2 linked regions of the Callithrix jacchus genome follow. The protein of the gene in region 1 interacts with the protein of each later gene in a pairwise test. Links are inferred from orthologs where the notes say so. Each region holds a gene or a part of one and is shown in the gene's direction. Other genes may lie near its edges.

Region 1 (4,088 bases):
CAGAGGGCCAGGAACACCGTCTGATAGCTGAGACGCTTGTGCCCATACAGGAGCACCAGCCAGAGCTGGGCATAGACGGAGAAGAAGAGCAGGGCATACAGGGTGGTGTAGGCGGCTGTCAGCCCCAGGGTCACAGCAGGTGGCAGCGCAGGCACCAGCCCGGCAGCAGGCACCAGGCCAGACAGGTTACTCTCCATGTCAGGGAGGGAGGCCTGAATCCCTGAGACAGAGAAGGAGGGGCTGTCGGCGGGGCCAAGGAAATAAATACGGAGGGGTGGGAATTGCAGGGTGCAGAGAGGGAGATGGGGCGCTCAGGAGGAAAGAAGTTGTGGCTGACAGACCTCTCCTCCTCAACAGAGAGACCCCTGCCCTTGGGGAACATGGGCAGCCTGGGCCCCAGGCCCCTCACTCAGGGGCATGGAAGGGCAGTTTCTTCTCTCCAGGGCAGATCGGTTGAGGGTTGGTGGTGTCTCCTCCCTGGGCCTACCCCAGAGCCAGTGATGGAGGGAAGCAGAGGCCCAAGGAAAGGAGTCCCTGGCCTGAATCGCTCGTGTCGTCCTGGCTGGAGGGGGAGAGCCGGCCGATGCCCGTTGGCCCAGGGCAGCGGCCGCTATCGGGGGCGCCCAATGCCCCGCTCTCCCCCTCCCCAAGTTGGGGGAGGCTCTCTCCTCCAATAATGCGGATGGGGAGAGCCTCTGCCTTCTGTCCTCGGAATTCTCGGAGGCTGCCCCCGCCCCACCCCTCCACCGCGTCCACTCTCCAGCGTCAAGGGGCGGGAGGAGGCGGATGCCAGGTCCTCAGGCCGCTGCTGGGAGAGCCGGCTCAGATCGTGGGGACCCGGGGCTCCGGCTCCCCGGCTCCCGCTGCTCCGCCCCCTCCTGCGCCTGCGCGGGCGCCGTTCGCTACGCAAATTGCGCAGGGGCCGGGCTGGCTCCGCAGTCTAGCGCCGCACCCGGCGTGGAGCCGTTCGAGAATTGGCACGAGCTGCGCCGCTGGCGGGCGCCCGGGGTTACAGGAGGCGGCAGGCGGGCGGCCGAGTTGCGGGGGACTGTGCCGCACACAGGGGACCCCCGGGTAGGCCGCGCCCCGGGCCGCCAGCCTTTACTAGTTCGGGGGGCCGCCAGTTCCCACGCTTCTCTCCCCCATCCCCAAATTGGGGTCTTGCCTCCCGGCCGGGGACAACGAATCCCCGACCCTCGGTCTCTAAAGAAAACTTCCGCCCATAGCCAAGATGGCTTCCGGGCCCCGCCCCCGGGTCTGAACCCGCGGAGCCCCGAATCCCCCGCGCGGGCCCGCCCCCCGTCCTGGCGCGCCCGCGGCCCCGCTCACCTGGCCTGCCGCCTGCCAGGCGCGAAGCCCCCGCGGGCCCTACGGTCCACCCTCACTGGGTCCCCGGCCCTCCTCCCGCGCCCGGGCAGCCATCCCAGCCAGGGAGGAGGTTCCCTCCCTTATCTCCAGTGCCCCCGAGATGGCGCGGGAGGTGTCCCCCGAGGCGGGCGGCGCGAAGCTTCCACGCCTGGGAGGAGGAGCGGGGAACGGGACTTTCCGACCGGGTCACCCAGTCCAGGCGAAGCAGTAACAATAGCAACAATAATCGCATCCGACGGCTGAGCTTCAGTTGCGGCTGTGCCGAGCGCCTTCGCCCGTAGTAATCACTCCTTTCACAAAGTTTTCACTGGCTCCCGGGAGAGCTGTCACCATCCCCTCTTCACTGGAGGTAAACTAAGGCCCAGAGGGGCTGAAGGACTTGTCTGCAGAAGCAGGTCTCCAGGTTCCAAATGGGGACCCCAGAGAATCCCTCTCCTGCTCCTACACACATCCAAGGTGTGAGGCAGTAGGGATGTGAGAACCCGGGCCGCGGGAGGTAGGAAAAAGGCGGTGGGCTAGGAGGTCGGGACGAGGGGGGGCGGGGCCGGGCCGGGTTGACCCCGCCTCTGGACCTACCCGAGTGACGTTGCGAGAGGTGATTGGGGCAGGTCGCTGACAGTTCCCGTTGCCCAGGCAACTAGGGCCGGGAGCCCGGTTGCAGGAGGGAGGCGGCAGGCCCGGGTCAGGGGCCTCGAGATCGGGCTTGGGGTGAGACCTGTCCGCCGTCACCACGGGCGGGGCGGGACCTGGGTAGGCCCCTGGGTAGGGGCCTGGGTCCACCAGGGTTCTGACGGGAGACTGAGGTCCTGAGCCGACAGCCTCAGCTCCCTGCCAGGCCAGACCCAGCAGACAGATGAGGGCCCGGGAGGCCTGGCGGGCTTCGGGGCGCCAGGGTGGGAGAGGGAGCCAGGGGCACCTGCCTCTGCCTTCCAGGACCACCGTTGGCCCCAGCTGTGCCTTGACTACCTAACATCTTGTCCTCACAGCCCAGAGCATGTTCCAGATCCCAGAGTTTGAGCCGAGTGAGCAGGAAGACTCCAGCTCTGCAGAGAGGGGCCTGAGCCCCAGCACCGCAGGGGACAGGCCCCCAGGCTCTGGCAAGCATCGACGCCAGGCCCCAGGCCTCCCGGGGGACGCCAGTCACCAGCAGGGACAGTCAACCAGCAGCAGCCACCATGGAGGTGAGTTCCCCTCCGCCTCCACCTGCTGGGTCGCCTCACTTCCAGCCCATTGGCTCCCTGCATCCCAGCTGCATCCACACGCACTGAAGGCTTCGGGGCAGTCCCCAACCTCTCAGAGCCTCAGTTTCCTCTTTTGTAAAACAGAGCAATTAATCACCACCATTGTAGGACTGTTGGGTTAATTAGCAGGAACATATAGGATTCACTTGATTACAGAGCTGGTGCACATTAAAGTGGCAAAATGGCAGCTGCTGGGCCTGGTGGCTCACACCTGTAATCCCAGCACGTGGGGAGGCCAAGGCAGGAGGATCGCTTGAGCCCAGAAGTTCAAGGTGAGCCTGGGTGACATAGGGAGACTCCATCTCTTAAAATACATACATATATATATAATGGGTAGCTATTAGTGTGGGGCCAGGATAGAAATCAGTGACAGGCAGGCAGTGATGCAAAAAGGAAAAGTGACTTGCCTAAGGTTACACTTGCCTGGGGTTTCCTTCCTTAGGAGGTGGGGCTGGAAGGCTCCTTGGTGCCCTGCCCCAGGCTATGTGCTTTCCCTGGGATTGGGCCTTCCAGCTCCCGGGTGTGTTGTCTTGTCCTGTGGCTCGCACCCACAGCAAGGCTGTCCTGGTACAATTGCCAGGAGCAGGTGACCTCAAGGGGCAGACAGTCCTCCCAGACAGCGGGGCTATGTGTGGTGGGGAGCACAAGCTGCAAGATGGAAGGATGAATGAACACTGGGGGTCACGGCCATTTCTCAATAGGCTCCACTACCTTGTGCCCAGCACTGGCCTGGAACAACAACAGATAATTTCGGAACAAAGAAACTAGGTCAATCCGGGTGGGGTGGCACATGTCTGTAGTCCCAGCTACTCAGGAGGCTGGCTTGAGCCCAGGGATTCAAGACCAGCCTGGGCAATTCAGCCAGACCCCATCTCTAAAAATAGAAAACTAGGTCAGGTCACTATTGCACTGAAGCTTAAACGACCTCCTCCCCATTTTCAGGATTAAGAAGGCTTAAGAGGCCTCCTCCCTCTCCCTCTCTTACCACACACACTCACTCCCTTCCTCAGATTGGACCCTATAACTTGCTTTTTTTCTCTTTTCTTTTTTTTTTTTTGAGACAGGGTCTCACTCTGTCATCCGGGAGGGAGTACAGAGGTGCAATCTCAGCTCACTGCAGCCTGGAACTTCTGGGCTTAAGTGATCCTCCTACCCCAACTTCCCAAGTAACTGGGAATACAGGTGTGTGGACCACACCCAGTTAAATTATTTTTCACTTTTTCTTTTTCTTTTTAAAGATGAACTCTCACTCTCTTGCCCAGGCTGGAGTGCTAGGCCTCCAGGTGCAAGCTAGGAGTTAGCTAGGACTTCAGGTGCAAGCCACCACGCCTGGCTAATTTTGTGTATTTTTAGTAGAGACAGGGTTTCACCCTGTTAGTGGGTATGGTCTTGATCCGACCCCGATTTAGCCTCCCGAAGTGCTGGGATTACACTCATGAGCTACCACCCTTGGCATTTTTCGCTTTTTCATTAGAGACG
Region 2 (3,944 bases), on another chromosome or scaffold:
CCTTCAAGAGCCAGCTTATCCTTGTGCACTGAGCATGCAGTAGATGCTCAATAAAATTCTCAGGCAGCCCAAGGCCCCTTCTCCTGCCCTGCCCTTGGCATGTTGACATCAGTCGGGGCCTTGTTTTAATCATTATTTTCCTAGCTTGTCGGGCAGCCCAGACCACGGTAGCACAAAGAACCCTCAGCATTCAGTGCCACCTGGGATTGGGAGTGGCTCAGTGACCAGCCAGTTGGGACACCCCAGCCCTTTGCCACAAGAAGTCCAGCCTGAGTTTGAACTCAGATCCTGGCCCCACCACTTACAGGCTGTGTAACCTTGAGCAAGTCACTGGCCTCGTTTTTCCTCATTTTAAATATGGGGAGACCAGCTGTGCCCACTGTGGGCTGGGTAGTGAGGATTAAAGAGATTGCTTGTGTGGAACTAGCAGTGGATTGGCTCCTAATGTGTCCTGAATATTACTTGTCCCAGCCTCTCCTCTGGTAGAAGGCACAGCATATCCAAGGCCACGTCTCAGGATGGGTGCGATTGTGTGTGTCTGTGCCTGTGTGGCGGGACTGTCCCCGAGGGTAGGACTCGATCCTGCCCGGAGCAGTGCAGACCCACGGGCAGGGTGTGGCCCGGCAGAACCCAAGCCCAGGCAGAGCTCGGAGCGGGCAGAACGACGGGGGCGGGGGCAGGCCTGACCCGCCCCTTGGGGCACGCGGCCGCCAGGCTTCTCCGCCGGCCGGTTTGTTTGTTTTGGGGGCCGTTCCAAGCCAGATCTCTAACGTGGATGGAGTGGCGCGTTTCAGGGTGGGGCTATGACAATGCACTACCCGTGCAGCCACCATCACTGCGCCCCCTCCTCCGGCTCCGCAGTCTCCAGCCCGGTTTTACCCCTTCCACCTCCATCTCTGCGGCGGTAAAATGCAGCACTTGCAGAGCGCCTGCGCGGCTTTCGGGCGGGGCGGCGGCGGTGGCTATTTATAGTAGGTGACGTCACCTTGAAATAGACCGTTATGGCCGGCCCGCCCTTCCCCCTCCCACTCCCGCCGCTCTCCGCCGCCGGGCCTGGCCGCTCTCACTGCGCAGGCGTTGTGCCGTCCTCCCATCCCCCAGCGCTGTCGTCTCTCCACCTTCGGCGGCGTCCGCGGCGCGAGCCACTGCGCGCCGGGCTAGCCAGCGAGAGGGCGCGAGCGGCGGCGCTGCCTGCAGCCTGCAGCCTCTGGCCGTCCGGCAAGCTAGTGCGCGTGCGCGGCGGCGGCCTCCGCGGCGACCAGAGAGCGGACGGATCGGCGGGCGAGTGAGCGAGTCAGTAGTGTGAGGCGCGAGGCGAGGCCGAGCCGCGAGCGACATGGGGGACCGGGAGCAGCTGCTGCAGCGGGCGCGGCTGGCCGAGCAGGCGGAGCGCTACGACGACATGGCCTCCGCCATGAAGGCGGTGAGCGCGCCGGGAGTGTGGGCGGCCGGGCGGTCGGCCGGCCGGCAGGCAGGCAGGCCGGTCGGCCGAGGGGCCTGGCGTTAGGGAAGGACGGGGATGGCTGCGGGCGGTGTTCTCCTGGCCTTGGGCGACCCGGCTGGGCGTGGCCGCCCTCAGCCCGCGCTTCCCGCTCCCGCTGGGCTCTCCGCCACTTCCTGAGGCTGGACCCGGGGTCGGGGATCCGGGAGGGAGCAGCTGGGAGTCGCGGAGGCAGCTCCGCGGGGGCTGGAGGGCGGGCGGTGGGAAGTCGCCCCATCTTAGTTGGGAGCCCGGGCGGGAGCAGGGGGTGCACGAGGGGACGCGAAGGATCCGCATTCCCGCTTCTAGACGGTTTCACCGCACCCGGGGGTTTCCCCCTTCTCGCCTTCCTCCGTTCCCCAACTTGGAAATAAAGAATCACCTAGTGAGTGGCGCCGTGTCTCAGCTGGTTTTCTCTGCCACGACCTGAAGTCTGTAATTCCTGTTTTGCTCTGCTCGTCCGAATTGTTCTGGTTCCGCCGTCCCACGCCTGGGGTCTGGCTTTGTGTGCGAAGACCCCTTTCCTGCAGTCTCGGCGTGGACGAGGGCGGGAGAGGGGGCGGAGGGTGTGGGGCCTCACTCCGCAGCCCCAGGTTTGGTGCTGCGCTGGTTGCCTGGAGATTAAAATGAGACCTGATTGTAGGTGAGACGAACCCTGTGTGCCTTTGCATTCCCGAGACCCTCATAAATCGATTCTGCAGCATAAATCGATTCCGGTGAAGTCGTGCCCAGCCACACCCTAGCAAAATACCATGGGTCATACACCACCTGCATTTCTGAGTTCCGGTTACCAGCTCACTCTCGCTTCACGTTTATTTTATGTTTTCTCTAAGTGAATGTTACTTATCTCTGCGTCAAGGTCACACTGTGGAATACAACTGCGGCCACCACCCTGCTATGTTCAGTATACAACCTCCTGAGACTTGGGAGGATCCCCTTGAACTCCGCCTTAGACCTACTATAGGTTTAGAAATTCGGGGGGGGGGTGGTGAGACTCAGACATCTGCATTGTAACCAACTCTCACAAGCAGTCTTTAGCTGGCTTAAGTTTGAGAATCATTGCCCATGATTATAGCAAATGTATCCTTTCCCTGGCCTTTTGGAGAGAGGTCCGAAAAGACTGCAAATACAAAGGCTCCCTAAAATCTTAGAATCATAGAATTTTGGAAAGCTCATTTGAAGGCTTTTGATGTTAATATCAGATGAAATAAGTAGTTGGGGCCAGTGTTCAGCATTGTTCAGGTAAGAAAGGTACTTGAAGAGTTGCCTTTCCTGTGGTGTCCTTGTTACACACATAACTGGGTGTGTGTGGAAACCAGCAACACTGCCCGAATGTTGATTTGATGGTGATCTTGACTTGAGCACTACTAGCATGCTGTTGTGGTTAGGCAGGAGGTTTTCATCCAACCCAGGGGACGGTCTAGGTCTGGAGGCTGAACCTTAGGTAATTCAGGGGGTCCCTTAAAAGAAAATCTAAAATGCAGTTCTGCATATTTTACAGAAATGGGACTCACTGAATGCAAGCTGTCTCTGTCCACAGCAGGTCACACTTAAGCCCCTTCTCCCCAGTGACTGAGTGGTACTGGGATTATGCAGGTTGAGGCCGCTCCACGTATTTTGGTGAAGTGCTTGCTCACCCTCTGAGTGAGACTTAAAGACTGCAGTATTAGGAGCCCTTTGGGAAATAAATAGGGTGAAAAGAAAGAGACAAGGTTTAAAGGAAGGGGAATGCAGGTTAAGGAAAAATGGTTGGAAGGTGCATTCTGGAGCAATCAGAAACCTGGGGCAACTTGAAATGGGGGAAAAAGGCAAGAATGGAGAGATGTTACCAGAATGAAATCTAGTTTGAGCAAGGAAAAAGATTGGCTTTCTAGTAGGGTTGTAAAATGCTTTCCTGCAGCCCGCTACTTGTGTCCATAGATTTTCTCTGGACGGTTAAGGGAGCCTTTTGTAAAACAAAGGAATTTATAATATCTGTATTTGAAATAATGAGTTGGAAAAGCCACCCAGCACTGAAGAGTTAATCCAGGCCTTAATTCTCCCATCTCAGAATTATGATAAACCATTTCCCTCCCATCATTTAAATGGAATATATTGTGCTTATAGATGTTTTCTTTAAAAAAAAATAGGGCCGGGCGCGGTGGCTCACGCCTGTAATCCCAGCATTTTGGGAGGCTGAGGAGGGTGGATCACGAGGTCAAGAGACCGAGACCATCCTGGTCAACATGGTGAAACTCCGTCTCTACTAAAAATACAAAAAAAATTAGCTGAATATGGTGGCATGTGCCTGTAATCCCAGCTACTCAGGAGGCTGAGGCAGGAGAATTGCCTGAACCCAGGAGGTGGAGGTTGCGGTGAGCCGAGATCGCGCCATTGCACTGCAGCCTGGGTAACGAGCGAAACTCCGTCTCAAAAAAAAAAATAATAATAAAATAAAAATATATATATTGAAAGGAACTAGCAG

Evidence for each region. The genes of interacting proteins can lie anywhere in the genome.
Region 2: the proteins of BAD (region 1) and YWHAH interact in binary tests that used the Homo sapiens proteins (3 or more experiments, as listed by UniProt). The link is inferred for Callithrix jacchus from reciprocal best matches to the Homo sapiens genes BAD and YWHAH.

Annotation. Positions count from the first base shown.
Region 1 is NC_133511.1:121,342,697-121,346,784, reverse strand, and holds the start of BAD (bcl2-associated agonist of cell death), read left to right. Parts: upstream 1-1,288; 5' UTR 1,289-1,778; coding exon 1,779-1,824; exon of another isoform or gene 1,825-1,908; intron 1,909-1,995; exon of another isoform or gene 1,996-2,118; intron 2,119-2,354; coding exon 2,355-2,549; intron 2,550-4,088. Other genes in the region: integral membrane protein GPR137, read right to left, coding at 1-197. UniProt on the Homo sapiens protein: Promotes cell death. Successfully competes for the binding to Bcl-X(L), Bcl-2 and Bcl-W, thereby affecting the level of heterodimerization of these proteins with BAX. Can reverse the death repressor activity of Bcl-X(L), but not that of Bcl-2.
Region 2 is NC_133502.1:202,419,032-202,422,975, forward strand, and holds the start of YWHAH (14-3-3 protein eta), read left to right. Parts: upstream 1-1,144; 5' UTR 1,145-1,336; coding exon 1,337-1,423; intron 1,424-1,862; exon of another isoform or gene 1,863-2,111; intron 2,112-3,944. UniProt on the Homo sapiens protein: Adapter protein implicated in the regulation of a large spectrum of both general and specialized signaling pathways. Binds to a large number of partners, usually by recognition of a phosphoserine or phosphothreonine motif.